Drosophila melanogaster: one gene and its partners. The gene in region 3 interacts genetically with the main gene of each other region. Each region holds a gene or a part of one and is shown on either strand. Other genes may lie near its edges.

Region 1 (7,466 bases), 1.2 Mb from region 3:
ATGTGTCTCGCCGTTCGCCTTGTGTTTGGTTTTGAGTCTGTTTTTCTTTTTTTTCGCTTTGCGTGCCGAGCGTTGTTCTAATTTTAAGCTGTTGCTGCTTAAATTAGAGGGGATATATATGTATATATATGTATCCATACAATTTCATGCGGAATTTGTGCTAAACACGTGAACGGGCCTCGAGGCGTGTGAATCGGAAGAAAAACCAACAAAACAGACTTGGCCGCCAGCATAAACACCAAAAGTCGCAGTTATAAGATATTCAGATTCAGATATCTGGCCGCCTAGCCCATTGCATAATAGGCGAATGCGAGGGGAAGCGAAAACAAAAACAAAACTTTAACTAAAGCCAAAACCGAAAGCGAATCTGAATCTGAGCCCGAGTCTGGGCTCGCGTCTGAATCTGAATCTGGTTTTTCCGCTGGCGCTGTTCGATTGGTTTTAAGTGCTGGCTAAAAGGCATTTTCAATTGTAATTGCTGCGGCTTTTAGGCGAATAAACGAGGCAGAGTAATGAGCAAAAATTAAAAAACAAAAGAACACACACACACAATCATTCATACGAACCAAGAAGGTTTGGCTTGGCTGCGCTTTGGCGACGCCTAACGGCATTAATCAAAAGACTGAAGACACAAACTTGGCAGTGCCTCAAAAAGAGCAGGGAACACATATGTACATATGTATGTCTGTGCGTATGTGTGAGCACATCGTTTGGAGTGTTTTCTATTTATGACGAACCGCCATAAAAATGATGCCAAAAATAAGCGCTTACTCGCTATAGAAGCGTGCGCTAATAGGCCATCATTTAACTGTAAGGCGTGGCAAGTGTTACAATCGCATTTGGCCAACAGGAAGTCGAATATGTAATACCAACAGACAAAACAAACAGCCCACCCCTAGTCTAAAAAGGAAATAGCACTGAATCTACTTATAATAATCTTGGAAAGGATGCCAATGTAGTATTAAACTTTTAAATCGTATTATATTCTTTTGGCAGGGAATCCAAGCAACAATTGGCTTGTGTCCAACTGAGTAGTAAAGTTAAGTCTGCCTGTTACTATTATAATAGAAATCGAATATTGAAAAAAAAAAGGGTTTAAGAAACCTAATTGATGAAATAACTCAATCATCATTTATTTTTCGAGGTTCATCTCTAGAACAGCCTTTCGTAGTAAATTCCGTAACCATCCATCAACATAATTATGGGCTTCACCTCCACTCCAGTTAATCTCATATATTTCAAAGTTAATGACGTTGTCATAGAACATCTAACCAAATATATTCCCACAGCTCGGATCCAAACAGAGTTGTAGCTAGGCAGCCACTACAGAATCATTGAGAAATCAATGGCCATTTGGTACACGGTTTTGGCACAAATCAAACTTGAAATCGCACCCACGTCTAGAACGAGGCGTTGAACCAACCAACCATGTGGGTGGCTGTCCCGATGACGACGACTACGAGATTTGGCTGGCCGTGTGGGTTTGCAAGGCAAAAAGCGAAATAAGTATATACGAATGTATATTCGGACAGCAAACAAATCGAAAAGTGTAAAAAATGCCAGACACCTACGTGCACATCGCATTCTGTGATATAGATACACCGATTTGTAGCCTACGATACGTACACTTTTGCCCATTCAAAGTCGAAAATTTCGGCCATTACGTAATGCCCTAAACTAGGTGTGCTAGCTGGCCCTCTTCTGCCATTTAAAGTCACGACAACACTTTCGATATTTACCTGCTGACCAACTGAGTAAACTAAGAAGCGGATTGGTCATTCCCATTACCATTACCATTCCCATTCCCCTTGGCCAATAGCACCACCAATACCATTATCATGACCATTCCCATGACCTTGCCGCCAGCTGAATCTATAGAACTCGCCGAGTAGTGGGGCTCATTCCACTCCGCTGGCGAGTGCAACTAATTAGGTTCATTGCCAATGTCAAGTGTCAGTAAATGACATCAGCCACGGGATCACTCATAAGTCCGAGGAGCAATTCATTAATTTCCACTTTTTGCTGTCCCCGCTGGTTAATTTATTTCATCCAAGCCACGCAGTTTTGTCACTGAGACAAAAACACAACAATGACATCTCTGCTTAAAATAAATTAAGGTACAAATTAGTTTGCGGCAAAGCGGTGTATTTAAGTAGTTAATTGATGTTTTAAGAGGAATTCCATTGAAGAGTTACTAGATTAGCTACGTCAACTGTCTTTTGTAATATTAGTCAGCATGATTTTCTCGCACTGTATTCTCCTGTCGGGGCGTTAAAAAAGTGCTCAAGCCACAACTCATCGCTGTGCCGAGCAAGTGATGAGTGATGTCATCCCAGAGTTGTTTACCTCTCCGAAAAGTGTTTGTCAATAAATAGTATTCGTATTCGTATTCAAAATCTGCATACCAGCCTCGCTCAGAACTGGACGTGCTATGATATATGCGATCTGTGGCAATTGACTTGTTTAGAAACGCAACCGGATTTCCTATAATTAAGTTGGTTAGACGGTCATTTGACGCCTCGTTGTCTTCGCAACGCCGTGTGGAAAAATGCCAAAAAGGCCATTCAGACGGCCAACTTTCGGTTTGCACAAATTGTTTGGGTAAAAGTGCGACAAGTGAAAACGGGCGAACAATTGACAATTGATCGTGGCAGATTTCATTGCTGTGATTACGTCCATTATCTTCTGGGGTGGCTCCCACGTTTACACACATGTTGGCCTTCTAACGTTTGTGAAAGACTTGCCCAAACAGCCACATTCACGACAACCACTGGCATCCACAGTACTGCCCACCAGATCTGCTCGCTTTTTGCCTGCTGTTGCCGCGGCGAAATTCCAAACTAAGTGATTTCTGTTATTTTACAGACTCTTTTTTTTTGTATTATTTTCGCCTTTTTGTTATTTTTGTATTCAATTTTCCTTTTCGCTCGCTTCGTTTTGGCTTGGAAGCGACGAAACCAGTTTTGCTTTATAGCCAGATTCAGAGATATTCGCACACACACATTCGCTGGCGAAACCCCCCGCATTTTTTTTTATAAATTCTCCTGCTGCTCTCTGGAGCTTTGAGCTTTGGCCATGACGTCATCGTTTGTTTTGGCCAGGCCAAGAGAGCAGAGCCGCCCAGATCGACCAGCTAAGCGCAGTTCCAGTTCGCTTCGGGCCGCGAGCGCGTGCAAACGAAACTAAAACTGATACTGAAACCGAAACTGAATAGCATAGCTACAACTTACAGCGATCAGAAGTATCTCATCGCGATCTATCCATTTCTCCCGATCAGTGTTTCGAACGCGAGTTACATCTGTACATACATATGTGCGAGTCGCAGGTGAAGTGCAGTGACGTGCAGTGAAGATGGACGTCAAGGACATAAAAGGCGCCAAGGTGACGCATGCGGGGCTGCTCAAGCACAACTCCGATGGAACCACCGAAACGCAGAAGATCACCCATGCCGGTCTGGTGGCCCGGAGTCCCGAGGGCACCGCCGCCAAGGGTATGAACATACGGGGCAACGAGGACCTCTGGGTAGAGATCCAGGCGAACACATTCCGCAACTGGGTCAACGAGCATTTGCGTGAAACGGGAATGCAGGTGAGTTAAGCCATAGATATATTGTAGATATATTTACATTCCGATTATGCAACACTTTCTAACCGACTGAGTAATGCCTGCCGCCGACTGAATATCTGATCGATCAAGCGCAAAAAACAATTACCCAATCAATGGGCTAGCTCCGTTGAATGTGGAATTCGTAGAACTATTGATGAAGCAGGGCCTGAGAATCGATGAGTGAAATACAAAACGTTTAGATCTGGAATTTTAGCCAGGAAATGATTTGCGAAGGCAGTTGCACATAGAAAAAGTGGCACTGCTTAATGAAGTGTAATTAGGGATAGAAAACAAAATATGAATATGTGAAATAATGAACACTTTTTAATTGAACTCTATACAAATAAAATTTTCGATTATTATAAATCGCAATTAAGAAGCACTTTAAAAGCAAGGTTTTTGAAGTTCATATACTGATCCCATTTAAGCTAAATATAATCGCATAACGAGCGCATTGACTGGTGACAGAACACGTAAAAGTATAAATCGCCATCATAAACTGGGGCTTCGAGCTCTTCCGCGAGTTTCCCTAAAAGGCCGGGCTCATAAAACTCGGCTCAATCGCCCACGCAGATCTTGAACTCCAATGGCAGCAACGACAATTACATTAACAATGATGCCAAGAGTACTCACACGGACTTATGTGTACTGCCAACAATGCATTTCATTTGTCCAGGGACTTTTGAACTGTCACTCGCTTCGACGGATTTTCTCACACGCACCGCACTGAAACGACCTGAACCGACCATATTTGGCCGGTTGAATGCCAAGGCCAACGCATCGAGTTCCCATTAGCAGTTACAATACACAAAACAAGCTAAAGCTTTTGTGCGCGATCTTGCCCGGTTTCGAGTATAAAATTCGGGGTTTTATTTTTTTTTTTTTACTTTTTCGGTTGGGCCAAAAACGTACATACATACGTGTATGTGTACATATGTGATGAGCAAGGCTGAAGACCCCTTAGTAAACAGCGCTAATTGTGACCTGGCTGGCGTCTATTTGGGTCACCAAACCAAAACGAGTCATCCAAGTTTGCGTTTTTTACGCTGTTTACAATTCTAGTTCATGCGTATGCGACAAATAATATTGCAATCCACTTTGTATGACAAATGCATGTGCAAACAAAAGGGAAATGCTTTGATGGGAGCAGATACACGGAGAGAAATATTCAAAGTGACTGCATTGTATGACCTTAACGTTTTAATGCAGTGCAACAACAGTTGCGGCAGGTAGAATTAAATTATCTCAAAATGATTGCCACCATGGAACTGTCGTAATAGAATGACTAGACATTTTCTGACATATAGCAAAAATTTATATGCAAATAAAAGTACATATATATTTTGTTAGGTGAAAACGCAACTCCCAACGAAACTCGAGTTCATATCGTAAAATCAGAGGAATCTTAAAAATTTAAGGGCGGAATAACAGCAGCGACAAATAACAACCTGCGGCAGCTTGTTAGAGAGCCATGGAGCAACTACATATGTGCGATGTGAGATTTTTATGGCATCCAATGAATATTTTCCTAGGCACAAACAAACAGCAACAGACACGCGATTGTCTCCGTACCCAGTTCTCCAGTTTTTTGTCGTATTTTATTTGTTGAGTTGAGTTGAGTGGAGTGGAGTGGAGTTCCCCCCAGTCGAATCGAATGCCGACAGCAGCCAGATAAAAAGCTTTATGTCAAATGCTTAAAATCGCGCACAATTGGTTGCACCCGGGCGGAGAAAGCCGCTCAGTTCGGAGCAGCGAACCTGTTGGGTTCCCAAGCCCATTCTTGAGCTCCATGTGCCATGTTCCGAGATCTGAGCTCCATGCTCCAAGTTCCGAGCAAGCGGTTTACCTTGCAAAGTGGGCCACCAGTTTGCGGAAGGGGCGTTGATTGCTCATTAGGAAGGCTGCCAGTCAAGCGACCTTCTTGCATTTGCGCAGACATGGTAGGCGTTTCGCACATTTGCTAATCTCCATTGGGAACTATGTACATATGTACTACAGCAAGTCTAGTAATCTCAACTAATGCATAGCTATAAAGAAAATGCTGCTAGAGTCATTAAATAAAGATAAAAAATCTCTTCTTTCGAACATTTTTTTGTTTTGGGTTAGCATGCTTTTTAAAATTAAATCTATATAGAATGGAAAAGTAAAAACTACCCACTTAATAAAAGTACATTTTGCAAATCCATTAGACCGTAAAAAGCTAATATCATATTAAATGCAATTATAATAATAAACCTATTATGGAATGCACTCCCATCTCTTACTTGCCACATTACTTGCGTTGCTAAACGGAATGTATTCCAGCAGTAATCTAATTATTTGCCACAAACTTTCCCATTACTATTTCTAATGATACGGAGAAGTTAATGCAAATTCCCATTGTCTCTCAGGTTCATGACTGGGCCACCGATTTCTGCGATGGCACTTGTCTGTGCGCCCTTGTGGAGAATCTGCAGACGCGTCCACTGAAACCCTCGTGGAATCGCCGACCCGCCAACCAGCATCATTATTTGGAGAACGCCACCACGGCGCTGAAGTCCATCGAGGCGGATCACATCAAGCTGGTGAACATCGGCAACGTGGACATTGTGAATGGGAACATAAAGCTGATCCTGGGCTTGATCTGGTCCCTTATCGTGCGCTACCAGATCGGAAGGAGCAAGTTCCCGCCGCGCAAACTGATGCTGGCCTGGCTGCAGGCCGCTCTGCCGGACTGCAGGATCACCAATCTGACCACCGATTGGAATAGTGGCGTCAATTTGGCGGCGCTCCTGGACTACTGCCAGCCGGGCTTGTTCCCGCACTGGCGAAGTCTCGATCCCAGCCAGAGTGTGCGCAACTGCACCCAGGCCATGGACTTGGCTCAGCGCGAGTTTGGAGTGCCCAAGGTTCTGGAACCGGAGTACCTCGCCTCGCCCTGGTTGGATGAGCTGTCCGGCATGACGTACCTCTCGTACTTCATGAAGCCCGGTGGTCCTGGTTACAATGCCACCATGCGATGGGTGAATACGCAGGTCAAGGACCCTGTGAAGAACTTTACGGTATGTTAATATCCATAATCACATATCAGTTATAAAGCAGCCTTCTTTTTTAATAAATCCTTATGGCTCTACAATAAAACACGCTTTTTCACCGCATTTAAATATGACCTTTTAATCCGTTGAACAAATGTTAATGTACATCTGCAACAATTGCATTAAAAAGAACATAAATACTTATTAATTCTCGTATTTTTCCAACCAATAATAATCGTATCCCATAATGGCACTTTCATTTCGCAGACCGACTGGAACGATGGACGCGTTATGTGCGAAATTATTAAGGGACTGGGTGGCTCGGCGCCCGCACCGGAAAAGCTCAGCACCGATCCCTTCCACTACGAGAACAACATTCGGAAGGCGGTGGACGCGGGCGCCCGGCTGGGCGTGCAGCCCATCCTGACGGCCAAGGACATGGCCAACCCGGAAGTGGAGCACCTGGGCATCATGGCCTACGCGGCCCACCTGCAGTGGGTGCCGCCGAGGCCTCCGCTGTCCGACCTGGTCAGCGTCTACCTGGAGAGCACATCCGGTCGGGTGGGCGAACCGGTGAGTGAAGCATATATATACAATATATATATGAATGTACAGATGGTGGCAAAATAATAGGGCACTCATGACTAGAAAAAAATATATATTATTACTTAACACAAATCCGATCAGTGGTGTTTACTTACAATATAACTGGAAAGATAGCTCCCAATTTTTAAATTAAACAAATATTTTTACTAGTCAGCTCAATTATTTTACCCATCACTGTGGGTGTGTATATGAACACTGCAGTCTGCCAGGTGCAGAGCGTAAATTTTTAATGTCCGATTC
Region 2 (7,793 bases), on a different chromosome or scaffold from region 3:
ATCAATTACATAATGCCTTTTGTGCGATTATCCGGCAAGTTTTTGTCCGCCTGACAATTATGCGCGCATTACATTATGTGGGTCAACGTGGCGTATGATTAATGAATCCCTTCACGAGGCACAATGATGTTGCCACGGCTTATGCTACTTCCACCGTCGCCTCCGATGATAATGATGATTATTATGAGGGTGATGGGCCATAGAAGACACGAACTGCGTTGTACGAAGCCAGTTTTGACAAAGTGCTTCATTGAAACTGTCCGAAAAAATGGGTGCTAAGCGGTCATTTATTTTATTAAGTTGGTAGTGAAACTTCTGCATGCATTTAAGTTGTTTGCTGTGACTGTAAGAGCACTACTTAACACTGAAAGTTAGTTCGATTATAGATTCTAGATCTTTCTAATAATTCCATTGGCTTGAGCTATATAATTAACCCACTCCTCCTATAACTTCCAACTTACGTGAAGTAGACTTGTCCCCGCTTATTTTGCGGTGCCTTCCAGATGAGCTTGGCGCCCAGCTTGTCCCGGTTGTCCGAGTGCGTAATGGCCGAGCACTCTGGAATGGTCTTGGTGTTCTCGCTCTGCACCCACTCGCCGATCCACTCGTTCGAGTTGGCATCACGCGCCTGCAGGAAGAATCCCCGGAAGACGGTGCTCTGGTCCGAGTGCGGGTAGATGACCACCGATATCTGCTGGCCGGGATGGTAGGTCTGCGCATCGGCCACCACCTCGTACGGATTCGAGTGAGCCGGCTGACTCCGGGCCTTGCCATGATTCGGCTGATTCGCCCGCTGCTTCACGCACGTGTCCGCCGGAGCGCCGTCCGGAAAGGCGACTGCGGCGCCTATCAGCAGGAGCAGCTCCAGCGACAACCACTTGAATCGATCCTTCATGGCTCTGGAATTCGATTTTCCTGATCGTGGGAAAAAACGCGCGCGCTCTCGGCTAATCTGACGCTGAAACTCGGCTCGCCGCCGCCATCGCCGGCCGCTTATAAACCCAAGCGGCAATGCCACAAGCGACGCTGCCGCCGAAGACATGGGCGGGCGGTTCAAGTGGACAGATAGCCACAGTCGGGGGTGTTTGAATAGGAGCGTTTAGCTATCCAAGAAAGCCAGCTATTGGAGAAGTCAGTGCGCTAAATCATCTTTTTCTTGACTACGATAAAACTTTTTCTAAAAAGTTATTTGTACTGTTTAAAAAAATATTCAAAAATATGCAAAAATATAAACGAATATTCCACGCTTTTCTTCCAGAACTCTTTGCTGTTGATCAACTGTTATGATAAATAGTAATTAATAGCCTTTGATAACTTTATTTACTAAACAATTGCACTAAGACCCAACCGTAAATCATTACTATTATTTTATTTGGTTTTTAATTCTTAAAAGAACTAACACGGAATGATGTGTCAAGAATAAATCATTGACAGATGCCAGCTGCCATCCCAATAGATTTTCTTTGACTAATTTATGGCCGCAGCGGTGCTATTAAGCTGACCGCAAATGTAGTGGGGCGCTCAGCTGGCGGCGGCCAACCAGTTTTTAATGATCAAAAAGCAAATGGCCAAAACACACAGAGTTCCTTTCCTGCACAGTGATCCAAACTGGGTCACACATTAGTCCCTCCCCTGGTCGACGAATCGGATTTCTTTGCTCGGTTTGGTGGTCTGGGCCCGAAACTCTGGTGCTGCTCTAAGTGCTCCATTGCGAAATTCTATGCTTCTAATCGCTGAAAATGTTGGAAAATGTTGGAAAATGCTGTCCGCACTGCAACATGTTCCGCAGTTTGTTTACTTTGCGCCTGTTCGCTGCATTTTTCAGCGCGTTTTAATGTTTTAATTGACAGGCAGCCGCCGTTGGCGTTGATTTCGCTGAATTGAGTTGGCTCCGGTTGGGTTTTTCCTTTTTCTGATTTCTCAGTTGTGATTTTTTTCTGGCAGTTCGCTTTTCCCCCTTTGATACCGCTGCGTTTCGCATTTCACAGCTTCAGTCGGCGGTTTCCTTTCTGGGATCCGCCAACGCCATTCCTTCGTGGAATATGGTTTTCCACCACCTCATTTTCACTTTAGTTTTTGGCAAGGGGGATAATTGCAACAGCTGCTGTCAGTTGGAATACAAATGGAATAATTAAGTCAGTTCTTTAACTTTAAGCATTTGCTTAAATTTTCATTTATAAATTGTTCGGAATGTTTTAAAATAGTGTTTATACTCATTAAGAGAAATAATTATGCGAAATAATTATCAATTAAACTATAACAAATGGCACACAACACAGCTATGTGTTTTATAATTCCTATTTTCGCAGCATATTTTATAGCTAGAATGGTAACTAAATAAAAAATATAAATAAAGTGCCCAATTATTTCTGCTCACTTTAATTATCTTTTTTTTTTTTTTTTGTTATTCACAAGCACTGCAAACAGCATACCGAATGGCACACAAATTCTAATTTAATAAATGCGCAAATGACCAACAACACTTCGGGCCAAAACACACTTTTAAGTGCTAGTGTGTGTATCTACACGCACTCACACTTTGGGCCAAGTCAATACCAAACTTGTTTCATTAATTAAAATGTTCGGTTAATTATTCAAATTGCACGTGCCAGCGTCAGCAACTTTTGCGCACAAAACTAAATTGTTTGCTTTTGGCAATGTGTTTGTGCTGAAACGTGATAAATAATACTCTAGATTGCTGAACTTTACAATTGGACATTGGCGCTTATTTGCATTTCAAGTTGGCCGCACTGCAAAGGTCAGTTAACCCGGTGGCTTTGCTTTAACCGAAGGATCAGCGGGCCGAAAGGACATATCATCCATTATGGATGCGGCGAATGCGAATTTTCAACTCCCTGCACTGGGCAGCAGCATACCGAAATTTTCGGCCATTGAAAATGACATTTGCGCCACATCACACCAGGTCTTGTTACGCTACACAGAGAAAAATATACTAAAAATATTATAGAATTTCATTTTATTATGAATTAATCTATTCATATTTGTTTGATATTTTTGATTTTTTTTATATATAAAATACACTATTTACAAAACTTTAACGCATCAAGTCATGCCATTATCATAGAGTTTAAAAATATAAGTAAGCTAAATATTTTATCAATTAATATCTATATATAATATATATATAATATGCAAGCTGGTAATGTGTTTCTTTCAGTGCATCCATCCTCCGGCCAATGCATGCGAAATTTACTTCAACCTAAAGTACGAAAAAAGTGGGCAAACGAAGGAAAACTGCCAGCCGCCTTAAACCGATGTGCCATGTAAATAGTGGAGCTTGTGGGCTCAGAGGGGGGGATGGAGCGGTGGCCCGAGGAGGGGTCGAAAAATCCACTTCATCGGCGACGGTTGGCGCGGAAAAGTGTGTCACCTGCAGGCGGGAAATGCGCAGGTCCTGTGAGAGGAAAAGCGGCTGCCGCCTGATGGTGACTTTTCCTCGCAGACTTTTCACCAACGCCACATTCGCATTTTCCACCAAGGCTGTGGGAAATTCGGCTCAGAACGTGGTCAGACGTCGAAGCGCGTGGTCGTCGAGTTTTCCGAGAAAATCCAGTGGGAAAGCAAACAGTGCGAGGCAGCAGCAGCAGCAGCAACAACAACTATCTAGAGCAAAGGAAATTGTGAGCAATTTGTATTTTAGTAGTATATTTCTTACGCGCGTGAGTGTGTGTGTGTGTGTGAGTCAGTGAATGAGTGTGTAAGTGTGTGAATGTGGTGATGAACCGAACAGCGTGCAACAAGAATAAAAAACGAATGCCCAAAAGTGCCAAACACAAACAACAACAAAAAAAACGAGATGAAAACAGAATATACATAAATGGCAAGCAAATATTTTTCTTCTTGAGCAGGGCAAAGAAAATCACAAACTGCAGCGTATCCATGCCCTCAAACCAAAAAAAAAAGAAAAACAAAAAAATAAAACGAAGAAAACAGTGAAAAGCAATCAAAGTAATAAACGAAAAGGGGGGAATGGCGAACCGAACTGAAAGCAAATCAAAAAAATCAATGCCCTTTCTGCGGAATTATACGTTGCGTATACGTGATATGTACCGAGGTAGCCAAGTCAAATAATAATAAAGGAAATTCTCACGTGACGCATAAAAAAGCCAAGCTCGCACACACACACAGCGATGGCAACAGTAACACGGCATGCCCCTCAAACATACGCACACAGCGGTAAACTTACTACCTGGGACACAAATTGAAGTTGGCGAAACATATTTGCGCAGCAAAGTTGCTACACGCAGCGAAAACTCGCTGCAGTAGTTTCAAATTGTGGGGGGAAACTGTGATAAACACAATTCATAACCAGAAAAGAGTTGAACTAATCAGAAATCTATAAAAGATCTTAAAGTTATGGCTATTTAAAAGCAATGTGGTGCCTAAAGTTGTGGTAGTGCCTAAAAGTAGGCAATGGAATTTGTCATTCGTGAAATGTGACTTGCTGCGTATGTATATAAGTATGATTTGTGTGAAATATCATCATAGCACTGATGAAATTCAAACATTTTCTCATCTTTTCTTGCAAAAGTGTCCCACTTTTCTCCGCCTGCATTTGGAAGGCACATGATTATGATGAGCTTGCCTCGCAAACTTGTTTCTTTTTTGAGGCTCGTGGCTCGAAAATGACAACAGCTGGATGGCCGAGTGGGTGGGTGGCGGAAGATTGCCTTTTGCCGCATTTGTTGCCGCTATTTTGCATACATTGAATTTAATGAACTGCCTGTGTGCGGTGTGTTGGATTTGCTTTTAATAATTTAGGCTGCGCGCGAACTAAATGGCGCTTTTAAAGTACGAACCGTCAGGCGACCCCAATATGGGCGACAAACGGGCGAGATGAGGCACAAATGAAAATATGAAAAAGGGCAGGGAAAACACGAACCATTTAATGCCCCTTCGCACCCTCGTTGCGCCTGTATGGATACGCTGTGAGCTGGTGTGTGTGTGCAACCCCAAGTCGGAAGGGCAGACATACTAACACACTTCAGCCGGAGGACTACGTCATCCTGGCCCAGAAGCTTTGGGGCCAGCAGCCCCCCCCGACAAAGCCAAGCCAAACCACTGCGAACCGAACCCAACCAAACCAAAGCGAACTTCGCTGGGAGCACAACTTTCCCTCGACGTCGCCACATTTTCGCATTCACAATCACATCGCGTGGCATATCCATAGGCGTAAGGATACGGCATAGGCACATGGTCTGGCCTCCACTCACACCATCACACTCGCCTTGCCACACATATACACACAGAGTTTGGCGAATGTGCACATGCACAGTATAGGTGAAGTTATAAGGACTCGAGTTGCGCTGCTCCTCCTTCGGATCGATTCCGGCTAACACAGACTTTGCGGCAGTTGCCGTTGCAAACACTTGAAGAAAAAGGGTGTAACTGTGATCACGAACAAGTCAGCTGCATTTAAAGAATCTTTCAGACTTGGAAGAAGTTAAAACCCTTGATTAGATTGAGATACATTTGCAAAGCTCAGAAGAAAGTAGTGGATAGTTATCTTCTATCTATTTAAAAACCTTTACTTGGTTACATTTTCCGATATTCTGTTTCTATATCATTCGCTTTAGGATCACCTTTCTTTCAGTGAACTAACTCCAATTGCAGTGGCAGTTACTTCGCTACTAGCTGCACGACAATCTGCATGCGGCATGACATCGCGCAGCCGAAGGATCTCGAGGATATATGTGGCTGGCAGGGGGGCGTTGCCGATGGAGACGTCATCAATTTCCATCCAGCCTATAAATACAACTAAAGTATATATGCCACAATGTGATGCCTTTGCGCCGGCGGCAAGTGTTGCAGTAAATTTCGAGGAGATCCGACTGCCGGCATGACCCTTGACCTTCGACTTGCACCATGTGGCATGCCCGTTTATGCTTCGATTTGCCGCCCTATACGCCATATCCACCCCACAGCCCCACGCCACCGCTCAGGCAAATGCAAAATCATTTGCCATCGAAATCGCATGTCGACCGGCAGAAATAAAACTGAAAAAAAAAGAAGTAGAAAGAGCAGACATGCCGTATAGCAAACCGAAAACCCAACCAGAAATCCTTGTCGCACAGTTTGCGTTTATAATTTATATACGACGTTCCCCGTACGAGGAGGCTTCTCTTGTTTTAGTTGCGCATTCGTCCTTGTCCCGGCCAAGTATCCGTATCCAAGGCGGACTCTCAATCGAAATCCGCATGGAGGAGGCCTTTAAGTGCGCCCGCTGGCATTTGGTGCTCCTCCCGTTTAGGCCGACAAGCTGCCCGCTTTATGGCTATTAAAAAATGCATTTAAATACACACCACGGCCTGCCATTTACCATATAAGCCATATACCATATAATCTTCGATGCGGCCTGCGTCTGTCTCCGGTTTTCGCTTCTCGGGCCTCTTCAGCTCCTCCTCAGCTCGAGTATGAGCTCCTTTGGGGCGTTGTTGAAAATTGAAATTGCGCGCTTATTTATGGAGCTCTGGCGGGGACGCTGGCGTTGATTGCCGTAACGCCCCATTGCCTGGTACATGACTATAATAATGATTGCCATTTTTATAGGCCAGCCAGCGCCGGCGCTGCGAAGATAAATTGTTTGGCTGCTTGGAAAATCGTTTCGCTTCGACATTTGAATCCTTTTGCTCGAAACTATCTGCTTGATTTTCCCCTGGCAAATGGCTGCTGCGGTGGGTCAGCGCATGAATGCCAATGAAGTACAGCGCTAGCCACGGCGTATACTTAATTTTCGGGCAAATACTTCTAGATCTTTCGAGGGCTGACAGCGCTTCCCATAGGCGCGGTTAGCTTAAGTGCACTAATTAATTTTGCTGAGGTGAGGCTGTCCTTTAAGTAGCTTAAGGATAACTAAATGCCGCATCTCTGGGGCTTTCGCTGTGTGTGTGGGTGTGTGTGTGTGTTCACCTCCAGGATAAATAATAAAATTGCCAGCGGTCGACTGGCCCCGTTTCGCTGATGACACAGAACCGAGGAGTCGAGTGGCCCGGAGTCGAAAAGTCGACCTCTGACACCCTCATTATCCTACATGTGTACAGCCACATAGTCCTTTATATGTGCGGCAGCACGTGTGGAATATTAAGCAAACTGTGCAAACAGTCGTTGTCACATTAACCATGTCATGGCAAGTGCATATGCCACTCTATCACCCCCGACACTTGGCTCAGCGATTGTGGAGCCGTGCACTGGGAGAAATTATAATGGCATACTTCATATAAATAGCGATATTGCTATAATATCTGCATTCAAACAAATAACTAACTAACTGTCTCCTTCAAAGTTAGATGTAACATTACTCGCCAGAGCTATGATATTAGGTTGTTCATAGCAATTATTTCTCTGAGTGTATGCCACCTTTTAGACCATGTTCTATTTATAGTACACAAGCGGCACATATTTTATTTTTCGTGCGTGATCAATGGAGTGCGCGTTGCAGGCATTATAATGACCAATGACCATCCAACGGCACTCGATTAGCGCCACTTCACGCCGCTCTAAATGGATTCCAGAGCTTGTGGATTCCAGTGACTAAGCCTGGAAAAATCGCATTTTCCTTCCGCATTGGTGGCTATATGTGCCACTCGCCCAAAGCCCCACTTTTCGCACGTGGCCTGCACACGACGCAAATGTTAAATATTGCAGCACTTTCAGGCGATTCATTTTGGAGGCGCCATCCCAACCCAATGCATCTCCCGTTCCGTCGCATCTCATCCCAGCACTGCCACATCCACATCCGCAGTTGCATCCGGCGAGCGACTGCAAAAAGCGAA
Region 3 (7,454 bases):
CGCGGAATCAGTAATTTTATGCGTTCACGGACGCCAAGGCGGAATCATCCATAAGATGGTATCATGGGTGCTAATTGCAATAAACATATCTTGGGGGACGTGTTTTCCAAAATACAATCGCCACTCGGCGTCCCCTATGCGTTACATTTGATTTCAATTGGACTTTTCATTAATACTACGCTTTCCCCCACTCGCGATTCCAAAGTATATACGGTGGAAAATCATTTTGTATTACTCATGCGCCTTTAATATGATAGTTTTATTTTATTCGTACAATTGAAAAGTTCACCCACATCGGGCAGCAGGAGTCGAAGCCCCCAAAAGTAAACACAATTCTACAAAGGACGTTTCCGTTGGCTCTGCCCAGCACAAGTGCATCGGATCGCATCACATTGGATCGGATCGGATCGTCGGTGAAGGCGAATTCCAGGCGCTTGCCCAAGTAAATCGAATCGAGTGAATCCGCTGTCCCCCAAAAGCATTCCCGCACGAGTGTCCGGATGTCCAGTGGCTGGCCTGGGCGGGCACATCCTCGGGTTAGATAACACCGTCCAGTCCATCCTGTTCCGCCACCACCACCACCTCTGCGTATGTACATATGTACATGCGTGCGTATGTGCGTGTTTGGATGTACGTATCTGCATGCACCTCTTTGTGTTCCACGTACATAGCCCCGTATCTGCACTAATCTATCTGCCCCCTGTTGTGTGTACGCGGCTGCGACGGCCCAATCGATGGGAACAGATTTGTGCACTTATCAGCGCGCGTGTAATGGCCTCCACCTGGGCCAGCTGCCTCGTCTGGGTTCGGGATGAGCCCGATCTCGCTGAGAGCGCCACACACATGCTCGCCTATCAATTCGTCGCTGCGGGTGGGGGCTGGAATCACGGTGGCAGGGTCAGGAAACCGCCAAAACCGTTCCCACTCGACGTCTGGCACATCGCAGCGCATCTTGTGTGTCCCAAGTCGTGCCTTATGTAACCAAGCCGGTGACATAACACCGCTGAGGCATACTAAATGGCACTAAATGGTCGTTATCTTAAGCTCGCCGCTCACAGCTCGCGGCGAGTGCGGAGCGATTAGCGCCACAGATCGGAAACAGCCTTTATCTCTGCCCGAAAGTGGAGCATACATCGCAGGTGCAGTGGCCCATTTCGGCCAGACACCCACCAAGTTCGATGGTCATGTGATAGCGGACTACTAATCTCATGCAAATAGTGCGACTCACTAGATACCTTCGATCACGGGTTATCACACCAGTTGAGGTGCGGCAGTAATGATGGGGGCGGACTAACCGTCTTAGTTATTTGGTGGGCTTTGCAATTCGGAACAGAAATGTTATCCTTATCTTGGGAGCTTATGTGAATTCGGAACCAGCCGCACTGGACTAGCGATCGTCGGGAATGCTTTTGATCGCTAATTCCTAGCCGTGCCCTCGGCAGGGTCTCCATGTTAGCAACGACGATACTAATGTCATTCCCATTTCAGAGTGCCTTACATCCACAAATATGCCAGATAGATTTCAAGTTACAAAGGCTGACGAGGACACCGCGTTGGACTACAACCAGGATGAGTCTGCGAGCGGCAAGCTACTGGGGGACATCCACGACGAAACCCTAGGTGAGAACTATGGGTCGTACGATGGTAAGGATGTTTTCATTTTTATTTGTGCCACTATTATTACTTTAGTTTTACTATTAACTATAAGAGCTCGTTTCTTAATATATACTTATACATACTTAGATAAGATGTATACATACACAAGAACCATTAACACTGAAGAGATTGTGTGCAATTTCATCTGGTCCTTGCTGAGTTTCGTCCCATCAGCACATTTCGCCTGCTCACCCCCAGGCACACGCATTTCCCCTCCCATCGAGTGACTACTGTATGCCCAGATAGAGCTTACGGCCCTGCAATCCTATCCTGTGCTGCCCCAGTTGCCCCAGTCCGAATCCAGGATGTCCTGGTGACACATTTCGCGGCTGCTGTAAGCCAAAGCTCGTAGTACCTGACGAAAGCTCCCAGATAGAGAGAGAGAAAGAGAGAGAGAGAGAGAGTGAGAGATTGAGGGCGGCGCAGCTTTCTCGCAATCCCTTCCAGCGAACGTCGGATGCTGGGTGAGAGTGGCTGGCTGGCTGGCGGGCAGGTCCTGGCCAAGGCAGTGGGCTCAGTGGCCCCACTGAGCTGTGGGCCACCGAATGGAAATGTACACCTGCAACGAGGCGCTCTCCATTCTCCCAGCACAGCTCAGCTTAGCTCAGCTCAGCATCGCTCTCGATTTCGCTCTCCTGCGAGAGTGTGTGTGTATTAAAAATGTGTGTAGACAAAAGCTTTCGATTTCATCTCAATTGAACGCTCAGGGTCCTGGGCAACATAATTTTTATTCGGCCGAATACCAACAGTTTTCTTAGTTTTTCTATTAATCCGAACGAAAAGTAGCATACATCTGAGCGTTTTCGCTCGCCTAAAATAACTTTAGAAGGAGTCTTCTTTCGCATAATACAAAAAACCTAAAAAAAAATACGAAAAACGGGAAAACATGAGAAACCAGTTCTTTTTGAGCACCTTTAACAAATAACATACTTTAAACAATCGACGAAATTCTAACAATAATCAAATACATGAATACAAGTGCGTTCAACCAGAAAGTGTGTCCAAATTCCCTCCCGGAGACCCCAGATCCGGGCACTCGGTGTCGAGGAGGATTACCCCGCATTCCCATAGAAAGGCCTCATTTCGTAACCATTTTCAGCTGCATTCCGCACTTTCGGTGCATTTAGCCAGCTCGAGAGCCGCTTTACGGCGAAAAGGACGACTTTACGGCATTTATTTACCGCCCCACGACGACGGCCTGAAAATCCTTGACCTAAATTAATCGGTTACATATTTTTTTTTTTTCTGTCCGAGCTGGCTCAACTTTCGCAGCAGCATCCCCGCCCGCCCTGCCTGCCGGACGCAATTTTTGATCCACCTCCCATCATACCTCCACCTCCGAGTTCTTGGGGCATTTCCCGATTAGGAGCTCCCTTCCGAAACCAAACCCAAATCTCGAGTATATAGGCACACGTCCGCAGACATGTGAATATATACACCGCAGCGGCCACGCCTTTTGGGTTATATAATCCCAATGCGTGGAGCTCCGTCTGAAGAAGGACCATGCCCACTTAGTTCTTAGTTCTTGACCACGTTCTCCTCTAGTGTTACCTAATTTTAAGTGAACATAGTGCAATCTAAAGCAAGGGTTTGAAACCAAACAACCAACGTTAACATGCAAAGTAACAGTGCAAAAGATGATTCGGATGAAATGGAAATAATACCATCCGAACACAATGGTACAGTTCACGAAACCAAAAATGAAGGTATGCAGGGGATAATATCAATTATATAGTATATATGTACATATATAGTGTTCACTACTAGTGCTTAGTAGCTTAATTACATAACGTAAGATATCCGAACTCTATTCAATCCTGTGCATCCACAGACTCAGGTGATATCCACAGGGCGGAGGAGAACCAGAAGTCCAGCATCGACCCAAATCTATATCTGTACGACGATGATTTGGAGACCAGGCCCCATATATCAACGTTCATTTCATCAATTGCCAATTATGAGAACACGATACCAGCGGCCACCGATCCCGATGCAAAGCCGGCAGCTCCATCGGCTCGAATGGGTATGTTCGCCGCGCATTAATTAACTTGCTTGTTCCATCTACCCCCATATTGAAAGGCATGTGCACAATGGAATCGCAGCAAACAACAAAGCTGTGGAGGAATGATTGCTGTAATCCCCTCAAAGTGTTTCAGCCTTCACTGTGCGGGCGAATATTATAGAGCTGTTCGAAAGTATGCAACAGTGTGCAGTAGTGTGGCACAATCGAAGGGAATCGCTCCCGCGATTGAGTGCATACTTTCGGGCACCTGCCTAAATGGTTTCATTAAACTGATGACCCCAAGCATCAATCTCTAACGCTCGTTTCAATGTCTCATAAGGTACCCTAATTGGAGTGTTCTTGCCATGCATTCAAAACATCTTTGGTGTCATATTGTTCATTCGGTTAACATGGGTTGTTGGAACGGCTGGCGCCGTGTGTGGATTCCTGATTGTTCTGACCTGCTGCTGTGTGGTAAGAGCGTCCTGCTGCTGAGCCCTCCCCCATTTGGCCTCACTCCAAACTCCTCTTTGCAGACCATGCTAACCGCGATCTCGATGTCGGCCATTGCAACGAACGGGGTGGTTCCGGCGGGCGGGAGTTACTTCATGATATCACGGTAATTACAATGGCATTGGTAGGAGGTAGTAGTAACTCTAATGGTGCCACGATTAACATCAACAGATCCCTGGGCCCTGAATTCGGCGGAGCGGTGGGAATGTTGTTCTATACGGGCACCACGCTAGCAGCGGCGATGTACATCGTTGGTGCCGTGGAAATCGTATTGGTGAGTTAAGAGCGCCCACTCCCAGGCACCAATCCCAGGCGCAGTTCCACTCGAAAGTGCCATTACTTAAGCACTCATTAATTATTCATTGCAGACATACATGGCGCCGTGGGCATCGATATTTGGGGACTTCACCAAGGACGCTGACGCGATGTACAACAATTTCAGGGTCTACGGCACTTTGCTGCTCATCTTTATGGGTGAGTTAAGCCTGTGGCCCACTAGTGAGGAGCAAACATTAATGTCCCGCCACTAAATCAAGGTCTCATTGTGTTCCTGGGCGTGAAATTCGTCAATAAGTTCGCGACGGTGGCCCTGGCCTGCGTCATCCTTTCGATAATAGCGGTGTATGTGGGAATATTTGACAATATCCATGGCAACGAAAAGCTATAGTAAGTATGCGCCAAGTACGTGCCCCCTGAGCGGCCATCTAATCTCCGCCCGATTGCAGCATGTGTGTTCTGGGAAAACGACTCTTGAAGGATATCCCGCTGGAGAATTGCACAAAGGAAGACTCCTTCTTACGCGACATATACTGCCCAGATGGTAAATGCGAGGAATACTACCTGGGTAAGATCCCTTCATACATGCAGAGTGTTCCATACCGAAACTACAATGCCTTATCCTCCATAGCCAATAACGTGACCAAAGTCAAGGGCATCAAGGGTTTGGCCAGTGGCGTGTTCTACGACAACATCTTCCCTTCGTTCCTGGAGAAGGGCCAGTTCATATCCTACGGCAAGAGTGCAATTGACATTGAGAACACTAGTGGAGAGTCATACAACCAGATCATGGCCGACATTACCACGTCGTTCACCCTTCTTATCGGCATCTTCTTCCCATCGGTCACAGGTTAGTAGCATCTCGCAGACAGAACTATTCAGATATTCAAGCCAATCTACATTAGGCATCATGGCTGGATCCAATCGATCGGGCGACCTGGCTGACGCCCAGAAGAGCATACCCATCGGAACGATATGTGCCATTCTGACCACCAGCACAGTCTACTTGTCCAGCGTTATGTTCTTCGCCGGCACAGTGGACAATCTCCTGTTGAGGGACAAGTGAGTAGCATAGTGATTCTCTGACTCTGCCATGGCTTATCATCATCCAACTATTCCAGATTCGGTCAGTCTATTGGTGGCAAGCTGGTGGTGGCCAATATTGCCTGGCCAAATCAGTGGGTCATTCTGATTGGCTCCTTCCTCTCCACCTTGGGCGCTGGTCTGCAGAGTTTGACTGGAGCACCCCGACTGCTGCAGGCGATTGCGAGGGATGAGATCATCCCCTTCCTGGCTCCATTTGCCAAGTCTTCGAAGCGTGGCGAACCCACCCGTGCGCTGCTCCTGACCATTGTCATTTGCCAGTGCGGCATCCTGTTGGGTAAGCATCGGATCGTATCATATTGTATGTGCTGTGAATATAATATCTATACCAAATACAGGCAACGTGGACTTGCTGGCTCCTCTGCTGTCCATGTTCTTCCTCATGTGCTACGGCTTTGTCAACCTGGCCTGCGCTGTGCAAACCCTGCTGAGGACTCCCAACTGGAGACCGCGCTTCAAGTTCTACCACTGGAGCTTGTCGCTCATCGGCCTGACGCTGTGCATATCAGTCATGATCATGACTTCCTGGTATTTCGCACTGATTGCTATGGGAATGGCCATCATTATCTACAAATACATAGAGTACCGCGGGTGAGTTAATCACAGATCATATTGTAATGATGAACTCCAATTAAGAACACAAGTCCGTTTTAAGTTTAAGGCAGCCGTCGGGCTGACATATATTTATTCAATTTCTTCTTTTGATTTTAGAGTAGGCAGAAATGGTTCTGTCAGCTCAACGTCTACAGAGTCTCTCCGATTTTACAGTTTTTTATATATTTGGACTTAGGCTAATCCGCGTAGCTGCGCTGCCGGGTACGCCAGCAGCGGAGCGGCGTTCTTATGTATATCTTATATATCTAGGCTTATCGGGAGAGCGAGATATGTATGTACGTATGTAATATGTATTTGGTCGGCGTGTGAATGCTGACCATGCACTTATACTTTTTGCCTTCGATTGGGCAATGCACTTATACTTTGTGGCCTTCGAGTGGGTGATCATGTTACATCCGCCCTGGCCTAACTGCGTGCATAAACATAAACATAAACATAGCAACAAAGTGCTGCCATAAGTTAATATGCTATTTTATTTAATTGTTCTTAATATTGCATAGGCACATACTACATCTCCCTCCTTTTGAAAAATAACGTAACCTAGTGAAGTTATTTTGATTATTAAATGCAAATTATTTTATTTTTATTTTTATTTTGTTTGTGTTTTTGTTTGAACAACAATAGTTGATTTTATAATGCAAAGATAAAAATATACGTAGTGTATGGAAAATTTGTGTAAATGATTAAGGAAAATATAAGTTTAAATTCAATCATGAATGAAATTTCTTTAATCTATCTTTATGAACTATTTGTTTTTTGTTTTTATTAGTAAGTAGCGTAATATTGTTATTATCTCCTATGCTTTCTATCTTATAGGGCCCCGTATATTTAAAGTCTAATTTATGACCTACCTCATTTCTTAGTAAAACTTTATCTCCTACTTCTAATTCTATGTCTTTTATTTTTAAGTCATAATTTTCTTTATTTTTTTCTTTGTGTGCTTCGAGAAGTTTTCTTGCTCGAGCATATGCTACCTCTAACCTATATTTACTCTCCTTAGCGTAATCATCTATGTTATATATTGGTTCTATGCTATGTAGTTTATTAAAATGTTTTGGTAAATTACTTGTTCTACCGAAAACTAATTCATATGGACAATAATTATGTACCATAGATTGGGTCGTGTTGAAGCAGTATACGAAATATTGAAGCCATACGTCCCAATCGGTTTTGTCCGTCGATATGTAGGATCGTATATACTCGTTTAAGGTTCTATGACTTCTTTCTACTACTCCAACTGTCTGGTGGTGATGAGCTGTTGATGTTATATTTTTTATTTTCAAATATT
Region 4 (7,605 bases), on a different chromosome or scaffold from region 3:
ATGTCAACTTGGGAATATAGGAATATGTTACTTATTATACTAGCAAACTATAAAACTCTTTTACCTGCGAAATGCATTTCAAAACTAATTGACACAAGGAATAAACACTTTTAGAACGCATATGTATGAATGTAAAAAAAGGTGCTTATATCGTTTTTATGCAACAACTATATTTTTCCATTATTTTAATTGTCGTAGCGAGAAGCACGACCGAAACCGCCACGATATTCGACCCGTCCGGTTCCGGCACCCACATCGCCTTTCTTGTCCATTCCATATGCGCCTGGACCGCGTCTGTAGTTCGATCTGTCGTCATCGGTTTTGGAGGCGCCTCCGAATCCTCCTCCGGGTCCTCCTGGTCCTCCGCGCGGACGCACTGCGTTCGATCGAGTAGTTTGCGTCAAAGTGGAGGGCACAATCTCCGGGGGCAAGTGCAGATAGCGGCGCAGTTCCTCGATGCCCTCGTTGGTCAGCAACCAGTAGAAGTGGCGCCAGGCAAACTGCTCCTTGACCCAGCCACGTGAGTTCAGCGACTGCATCACCTTGATGACTTGCAGATTGGGAATCTTATCCAGTTCGGAGTGCTTCTGGATGGGCGAGTCCTTCTTGGCCACGAGCACACCCTCCTTGAAGAGGTACTCGTAGATGGCGACACGATTGGCTTTTGGAATGAACATCTTGAAATAGTCTGATTTAATTCGAAAAATTCGCAGAAAATGAAGATGGAGCTTAGTGTGGCCAGCTTAAATTAGTATTTACCGAAACTTCTTTCATTCATTCCTCACGTTTTTGAGCACTACCTATTGGTATTGGCAAGCACCAATAAGTTTTTCATAATTTGAAAACAAGTTTGTAGTTCAATATATAAACTTGAGGATCGTGATACCATTATTTCCTTTCACTTTAAGAACATTTGGCTCAGCCCCCTTATGATTTTGAAAATAAATTATATGCGAAGCTTTCTTCATTTTCTGTCAGTGTGTTTCCTCCTGCATTTTGCTGGATTAGCTGCGTTTTAAGCTTTCGCACTCCTGAGGAGGAGCTGTGATTCATCTTTTGCGTCGCAGGACATTCTGACCAAACATGCGCAATGCGAGCGGCGGCAACCACATGAGGAATTCCTCCCCCACAGGAATGCTGAACAGAATAATCAATGAGCGAAACGCAGACACAAATTGACCAAGGGAAGCCAACCAAAAGGAAGGCATGCCGATAGATACAACGTAAACCCACCACCCACCGACCGGCTGCATCCCCCCAAAAAAAAAGCTAAACAAATGCCGGAAGGAAAGGAAAACGAAAGCGATTAGGGGGTGGCAAAACCACCCCCCTTGGAAAAGTGTCAACAAAAAGCAGTCGACCTTGCTTAGCGTGCGCTTCCGATTAAATGCACTTGATTTACATAACATTTGAGTAATTTTCTACTAATTAAAATGGTTACCAAATCGATTATTCCATTTTAGTAAGTTCAAATAAAGTGGTAAACTCTAATGCATAAGCTGTGTTGGGAGAGTATAAAATCTGCCCTTAGCCTTGCATACTTATTGTTAATATTTATATTAGTTAATTTCGAATTCACATGGCTGTTACGTGCAAGCAGTGCTGGTTTGGATATTAGCTCTTCGCTGGGTTGTTGCATTAGATTAGCTTGGACGGCAACCTAACGGCAAATTGGATATAATATCAGGCGAATTCGTTTGTTTTAGTAGAAAAATATAAAACCCGCTAAAATAAATATATATAATAAAAAGTAAAATTTTAATAGAATTTTAAAAATAGATAAATTAAAAAATAAACGCTTTATATTAAACAAAATTTTCTCTTTTACTTCCAGGTTTGTATTCAGATTTATGGAACTTAATGAGAACTTAAAATGGCTTCAATTATGGTTATGTTAAATACAAAGAATCGTCAGGAAATCAAACTAATTCAGTCCTAGAGTAAGAACCATAACCTTGGCAATCGAAATTAGGCTACAGAACTATGCAGACATTAGCCCAGGACTACGCTCCTTCCACGTCTGAGTCTGAATCCTTGGCTAACCTCACGTCAGTTTGGATCTCCCCAGGTTTACTTTTATGTCTACGCATTAGAGCGCCGGAGTTTTGCGTGCTGCCTGCTTGTAAATAAATAGACAACAATTAGGGGAACCTATGACAACAACACCTGGATAATGGAAAGGTGCGTGGCAAGCGGTGCAAGTTGGCTCTATGTGGATACAAAAATATATATGCCACCCTCCCGATTGTCGAGGGCAAAGGATTGGGTCTGGGAATGGGAATGCACAAATGCGCGTCGAAATGCCTCCCCCGGTGGCCATTAAATTAATCAAGTCAAATGAAATCTGCATATAAAATCAGCGTTATAGGCTCCCCATTCGCTCATTGTTGGCGTGTTGAATTTGCATTTTTCCCCGGCGCCCCACTAATAAATTTGTATGTCAATAGAATATAGCCAGAATACAAGGGGCTGCTCCACCAAAAATATATCCTGGCAGCGCTTTGAACTGCGCAAGGACACATTCTGTTTATGCGCCCCGAGAAGTTTACGAGCGACCACGCTCCGCCAGACCAAGTTGGCGTATCAAAACAAATTCTAAGTATTGTAATTCGAAATTTTTCAAAGCAAATAAAAGCAGTCGAGTTTTAACACTCGCGCCAAACACAACGCAGTGCAGGGAGCTGGCGTCGTAGCTCCACCAGAATATTTCAATTAAATAGAAAACAAAAATATATAAAAAAAAAATATAAGAAAATATAAAACATATTATATTATTACGCGATTTTGTCACAGTAGAAGTGTGTGGTTACTTACGCCTAGGTAAATTGCACCTTCATTCCCGTGTTCAAGCCAAAGTGCAAAGTGCATTAGCCTTCTCAGGCTGTACGTGGCCAAGTTATTGCCCCCTGGCCAGGAAAATCGATACAATTGCATTGCATGGCGCTTGTTTTGTTTTATGGCCAACTGCAACTGCAACTACAATTGATAGTCTTTGGACTGTGTGATAAAAATCGCTACTGCAGTGGCGCCAGAATTCAATTGCCAAAGGACCAAGTTTTGTTAACCATATTTCACCGAGGGTGAATCTAATTGAAATGCAAGCCACGGGCTTAGGAAACTTTTGTGCTTGCACCTGTGCAACTGTTGACTTACCAACCCCATTCCACTTGGCTGATAATCAATTTGGCCAAGACCATTTGGCCACAAATGACAGTTGAGTTGAACGTTGTTGTGCGGTTGACATGAACATTGTGTGGAATTTCGGTTTATGTCAGCCGCGAATAAATCACAAATCATTGTAGCCCTAATTTGCAGTTGCTGTTTCTGCCAGGCCTTCTTTATTTTGTACTATTATATATATATATATTTTTTTTTTTGCTACTGCCAGGAAGTTGGCGATTCCGACTCTGAGTCGGCACAAGTTGCAGTTGCCTCTTTAGTTGGCAGTCGGATGTGGCACGTGCTGAGGTCATAGCTCCTCCAGTTTAAAGAATCCCTCGTCGTCCTGTGCAATTTTATCGATTCGCCCGTCAAATGTAACACACACCAAAAAAAAAAAAAAAGCACTGGAACTTAATGCAAAAGTTTTCGGTTTTTTCTCCGCATTAAGTTAATTGCCAGGCAGTGCCGAGAACCAGTCTATATAGACATAGTCCCCGATCCGAATTCGAACAGTAGTAACCCACTCAGATATGAGTGATACCGATGCGGTGAGTTTTGCTTGAATTCATATATATTTTGGAGCTGCACTTAGCGCACACCGATTCGCCCATGCACAAATGATTTACGAGCATAATTTGCATAGGGAATGATCCAGGTTAATGGATGTATTATTCCGCCGACCTTGCACATACATCATTGTCAGTGGAAGGAACCCTTTTGCGAAACAAATCAAACAGCGATTTCTTGTGGCCCGTCGATTTGGGCCTTAGAACTGCCAAAACTTTTGTTGAATCAATAAGCCACAAAAACAATTTGGGTCACGTTACAGCTGGCAACCGGATTTCATGACAAAATTCCCTAATGGTAACCAAAGACCGAACGCCCGAACGCCAAATACCCAAATATCCTTATAGCCATATAGCCAAGTAGCCAAGTAGTGAATACCAAAACAATAAAATGTAAACAAATGCAGAAAGAGCCATCAAATTTGAAAGCACCCACTCAATGTGAACTATATTGATACGTACGTCTGTTCCGATACACGAGCTTTAGCTCCACCATTGGCACTTTGGCAACCCCACAGTTGGCAGAAGTAAAAGTAAGCCCACAACGATATATGGCCATACATATGCAAATGATATGGGCCAGTTTGCCGGGGCAGCGGAGCATGTGGGTGTATATCGATGGCATTGGCCACCAAAAAGTGGCTCCGCCACATATTGGGTTACCAGACACTTGCACATTTCTGCACCGACACCGCAGGCGAGAAGTTCTAGTCCTTCGCTAGGATGTACGGCACGGGAAAGGATCGCTCCGGCCAGGAGATTATTTCTCCACAGGATTACCCAGTGCAGCAGCAGCGCGCTCAGTCCAAGTCAGAGTATGTCATGAATTCCGCATCTGTAGATCGTCCTCAGCAGCAGTCGAGACCACAACCCACGCAGGATTATGTGCCTTTTGAGTCCTCCGATTCATCTGTGGAACGAAAGAAAGAACAGCCAAGTGCTCAGTTAAGCACAGATTATACCAATAGCAACACCACTTCGGATAGTGCCTCCTACGGCTCAGATTCAGTTTCCAAACAGCAGATACGATCTCAGCAGAATCCAGAGTATCAGAACAATGCCTATGAGGCACCTAGAGATGACCGCAGTCAACTGCAGCCACAGAGATCCCAGCCAGCTACCGATTACTCTGCATATGAACGTCAGCAACGTCCGCCACCAACCACACTAGACTACACCACCGGCTATAATGCACCACCTAAAGATCGCACCACCCTGTCACGCACCAACTCGCGGCCCACCCTCTCCTCACCCAATCCCAAGCTCCAAAGTATACCCAATACCGAGTATGTGCGACCACCACAGAACTTTGTCTTGCCACCGCAGATGCGTCCCGCCGTGGGGCCACCACAGCCGCGTCCTCCGTTCGCCGGAGCCCGACCTATGGTCGGAATGGGACCACGACCACCCATGCCGCCGAACATGGCGGCCAGGCCACCACCGCTGCGCAGCACAGACAGCAAGAGCAACCTGCTAATGGGTCCACCGATGCGACCGGGCATGCCACCGCAACTCAATATGCAGCAGGCTCGTCTGCCCAATGCCGGCGGACAGCTTAGCCCGCCGGGCCAGGGACCACCAAGGCCACCAGGCGGATTTCCTTGGAATCCAGCCGGGGCACCGGGAATGCCACCCGGAGCACGTCCGCCCCAGAATATGACGCGACCGCCGCCACCTACTTTTGCACGCCCGCCGCCGGGACAGCCGCTGCAGGCACCCTTCAATCGACCGCCTTTCAACCAGCCGCCCATGCAACCGCAACAGCAACAACCACCACAACAGCTGCAGCAGCAGCAGCAGCAGCAACAGCAGCAGCAACACATGCAACAGCAGCAGCAACTACGCCCACTTTCGGCAGCCAGTGCACACAACAACAACGATGACGACGACGACGTGGTCATGGGTCCCGCGGTGACCCCGCTCAAGACCTTCAATTCGAGGCCCGATCCAATGGGCGAGCCCCTACTGGAGGACATCGAGCCGCCCTTCCAGACGAGCCCCCCAGCCGGAGAATCCAAAAAGGGGCCCGGCTTCAGTAAGACTCAGATCGATAAGCGATAAACCAAAGACCATTAGTGAAGCCATTTAAGAGTTTATTTTTAAAATTTAACTATCTCAATATGATTCATGATATATCCATCCATGCCTCCCTCATGTATCTTTTGGTTTATTTCAGAGGGCGACAATGACAGCGGCGTGGATGAGTCCACTCAGGAGAAGGTGAGTTGTTATCGGTTTTGAACCAGTTAACTAGTTAGCCATAAATTGTTACCTCTGCTGCGTCTCCGTTAATTGAGAGGAAATTAACTGGAACTGGCAACAAATTAATTTAATTCCGCGTGCCTTTCCTCCGCCATGAGTTCTCAAATCATAAATATCTGTAAAAGGCCGGGGCAACCAGCGGGCGATCTTCGAGCTACAAGCTCCACGCTCCATTAGAGACCATATAGCAGTATATCACATATGTAGCATATAGCATATAGCATATAGCATATAGCATATTGCCTGCGACAGTTCCGTCGCTCAGTTCCCAAGTTCGTGTGCAGACGTTAAAGTTCAGACTAAGTTTTGTGTTGGCAGACGGCAGTTGGCGCGTCGGAAAAACCCGCAGAAAGTGCGACAAAAGTCGAAGAAATCAAAAGTATATGTACTACATGTATATATGTGCAATAAGTGAGCTTCACAGGTGCGAGTGAAAAAGTGGCAGAAAGTAGAAAAAAAAGGGCAAATATGGCCAAAACCCGCCAAAGAAACATACACAAAAAGCGATTTATATGCCTGGTGATATCTGCGCACAGATAAGTGCCAAACACGAAAACGAGTTGTGGATTTCCAGGGGGGTTTGGGTTTTTGGGGTAAATCGTAGCTCAAACTTACACATACATACATATATCCAAGTCGGAATTGTTGTCTCTATAAATACCCATCCATATGCAAAGGCGACACGAAGCGGCGACAATCGATAAAACAATGCATAAACTATAAGTCCTTCGTACCGAGACATCCAAAGCCAAATCGGCAGGCGTACGGCCGCATGGCCATAAATGCCATTGGCATTACGTTGACAGCTCCGTAAAGTCCGGGAGTGTTGAGAGCCCAGTAGTCGTAAATAGATAATAAACTCGAAGTCAACACAGATACTTACCAGGATGCATCTCGTTATAATGGCCGATGCGACCTACTTGCTAGTAATCCACATGGTCTAACCATTCAGCATAGTTAGTTTGCTAAATCGTGCGCTATGTTTGTTTCTCGGCAGGATCGCAACGGACCCAACTCGCCCAGTTCGCCCGTAAAAACGCCCACATCGACCTCATCGAAGCCGGACAAGTCGGGCACGTCGCGTCCACCGAGTGCCACGCCCTCGAACAAGTCAGCCCCCAAATCGCGCAGCGCCTCCAAGAACCGCTTGCTCCTCAAGACCCCAGAGCCCGAGCCAGTGAAGAAAGGTGAGAGACCGTAGTTCCATCTATCCACGTGAAATACTTTACTATATCATATGATCTACATATATATATTATCATTCTGTTTGCTTCACCAGTTCCAATGAACAAGGTACAAGTCGGACATGCGCCTTCACCCAATCTGAAGGCGGTACGCTCCAAGATCGGATCCCTGGACAATGCCACCTATAAGCCGGGTGGCGGCCACGTGAAAATCGAGTCCAAGAAGATCGACATCAAGGCGGCACCGCGCATCGAGGCCAAGAACGACAAGTACATGCCAAAGGGCGGCGAGAAGAAGGTATGTTCGTATTGTTCATCCTCTAGACCAGCGTTTTAATCCATGGGAGGGATCGGTGTATCCATTTAAAGCATATATTCTGCTCCAAGCCAGTACATGACTCTCTCATTAATCTCTGTAAATTTCTCTCATC

What was found.
Region 1: of kcc (region 3) and jbug, changing one enhances a phenotype caused by changing the other (phenotypic enhancement), as found in Drosophila melanogaster (one study listed by BioGRID).
Region 2: of kcc (region 3) and jus, changing one enhances a phenotype caused by changing the other (phenotypic enhancement), as found in Drosophila melanogaster (2 studies listed by BioGRID).
Region 4: of kcc (region 3) and tau, changing one suppresses a phenotype caused by changing the other (phenotypic suppression), as found in Drosophila melanogaster (one study listed by BioGRID).

What each region holds. Positions count from the first base shown.
Region 1 is NT_033778.4:22,732,727-22,740,192, reverse strand, and holds the start of jbug (jitterbug), read left to right. Parts: upstream 1-3,147; 5' UTR 3,148-3,351; coding exon 3,352-3,588; intron 3,589-5,996; coding exon 5,997-6,647; intron 6,648-6,887; coding exon 6,888-7,193; intron 7,194-7,466.
Region 2 is NT_033777.3:29,190,736-29,198,528, reverse strand, and holds the start of jus (julius seizure), read left to right. Parts: upstream 1-3,535; 5' UTR 3,536-3,641; intron 3,642-7,793. Other genes in the region: CG14515 (uncharacterized protein), read right to left, coding at 462-895.
Region 3 is NT_033778.4:23,908,190-23,915,643, forward strand, and holds the start of kcc (kazachoc), read left to right. Parts: upstream 1-2,420; 5' UTR 2,421-2,634; intron 2,635-3,201; 5' UTR 3,202-3,271; coding exon 3,272-3,362; intron 3,363-3,487; coding exon 3,488-3,679; intron 3,680-3,998; coding exon 3,999-4,132; intron 4,133-4,194; coding exon 4,195-4,277; intron 4,278-4,342; coding exon 4,343-4,445; intron 4,446-4,539; coding exon 4,540-4,645; intron 4,646-4,707; coding exon 4,708-4,837; intron 4,838-4,896; coding exon 4,897-5,015; intron 5,016-5,078; coding exon 5,079-5,297; intron 5,298-5,352; coding exon 5,353-5,509; intron 5,510-5,568; coding exon 5,569-5,828; intron 5,829-5,889; coding exon 5,890-6,142; intron 6,143-7,454.
Region 4 is NT_033777.3:27,645,908-27,653,512, reverse strand, and holds the start of tau (tau), read left to right. Parts: upstream 1-2,758; 5' UTR 2,759-2,820; intron 2,821-3,610; 5' UTR 3,611-3,710; intron 3,711-3,805; 5' UTR 3,806-4,451; coding exon 4,452-5,763; intron 5,764-5,904; coding exon 5,905-5,948; intron 5,949-6,325; exon of another isoform or gene 6,326-6,414; intron 6,415-6,703; exon of another isoform or gene 6,704-6,877; coding exon of another isoform or gene 6,878-6,916; intron 6,917-6,987; coding exon 6,988-7,177; intron 7,178-7,269; coding exon 7,270-7,472; intron 7,473-7,605. Other genes in the region: RpS10a (ribosomal protein S10a), read right to left, coding at 186-677.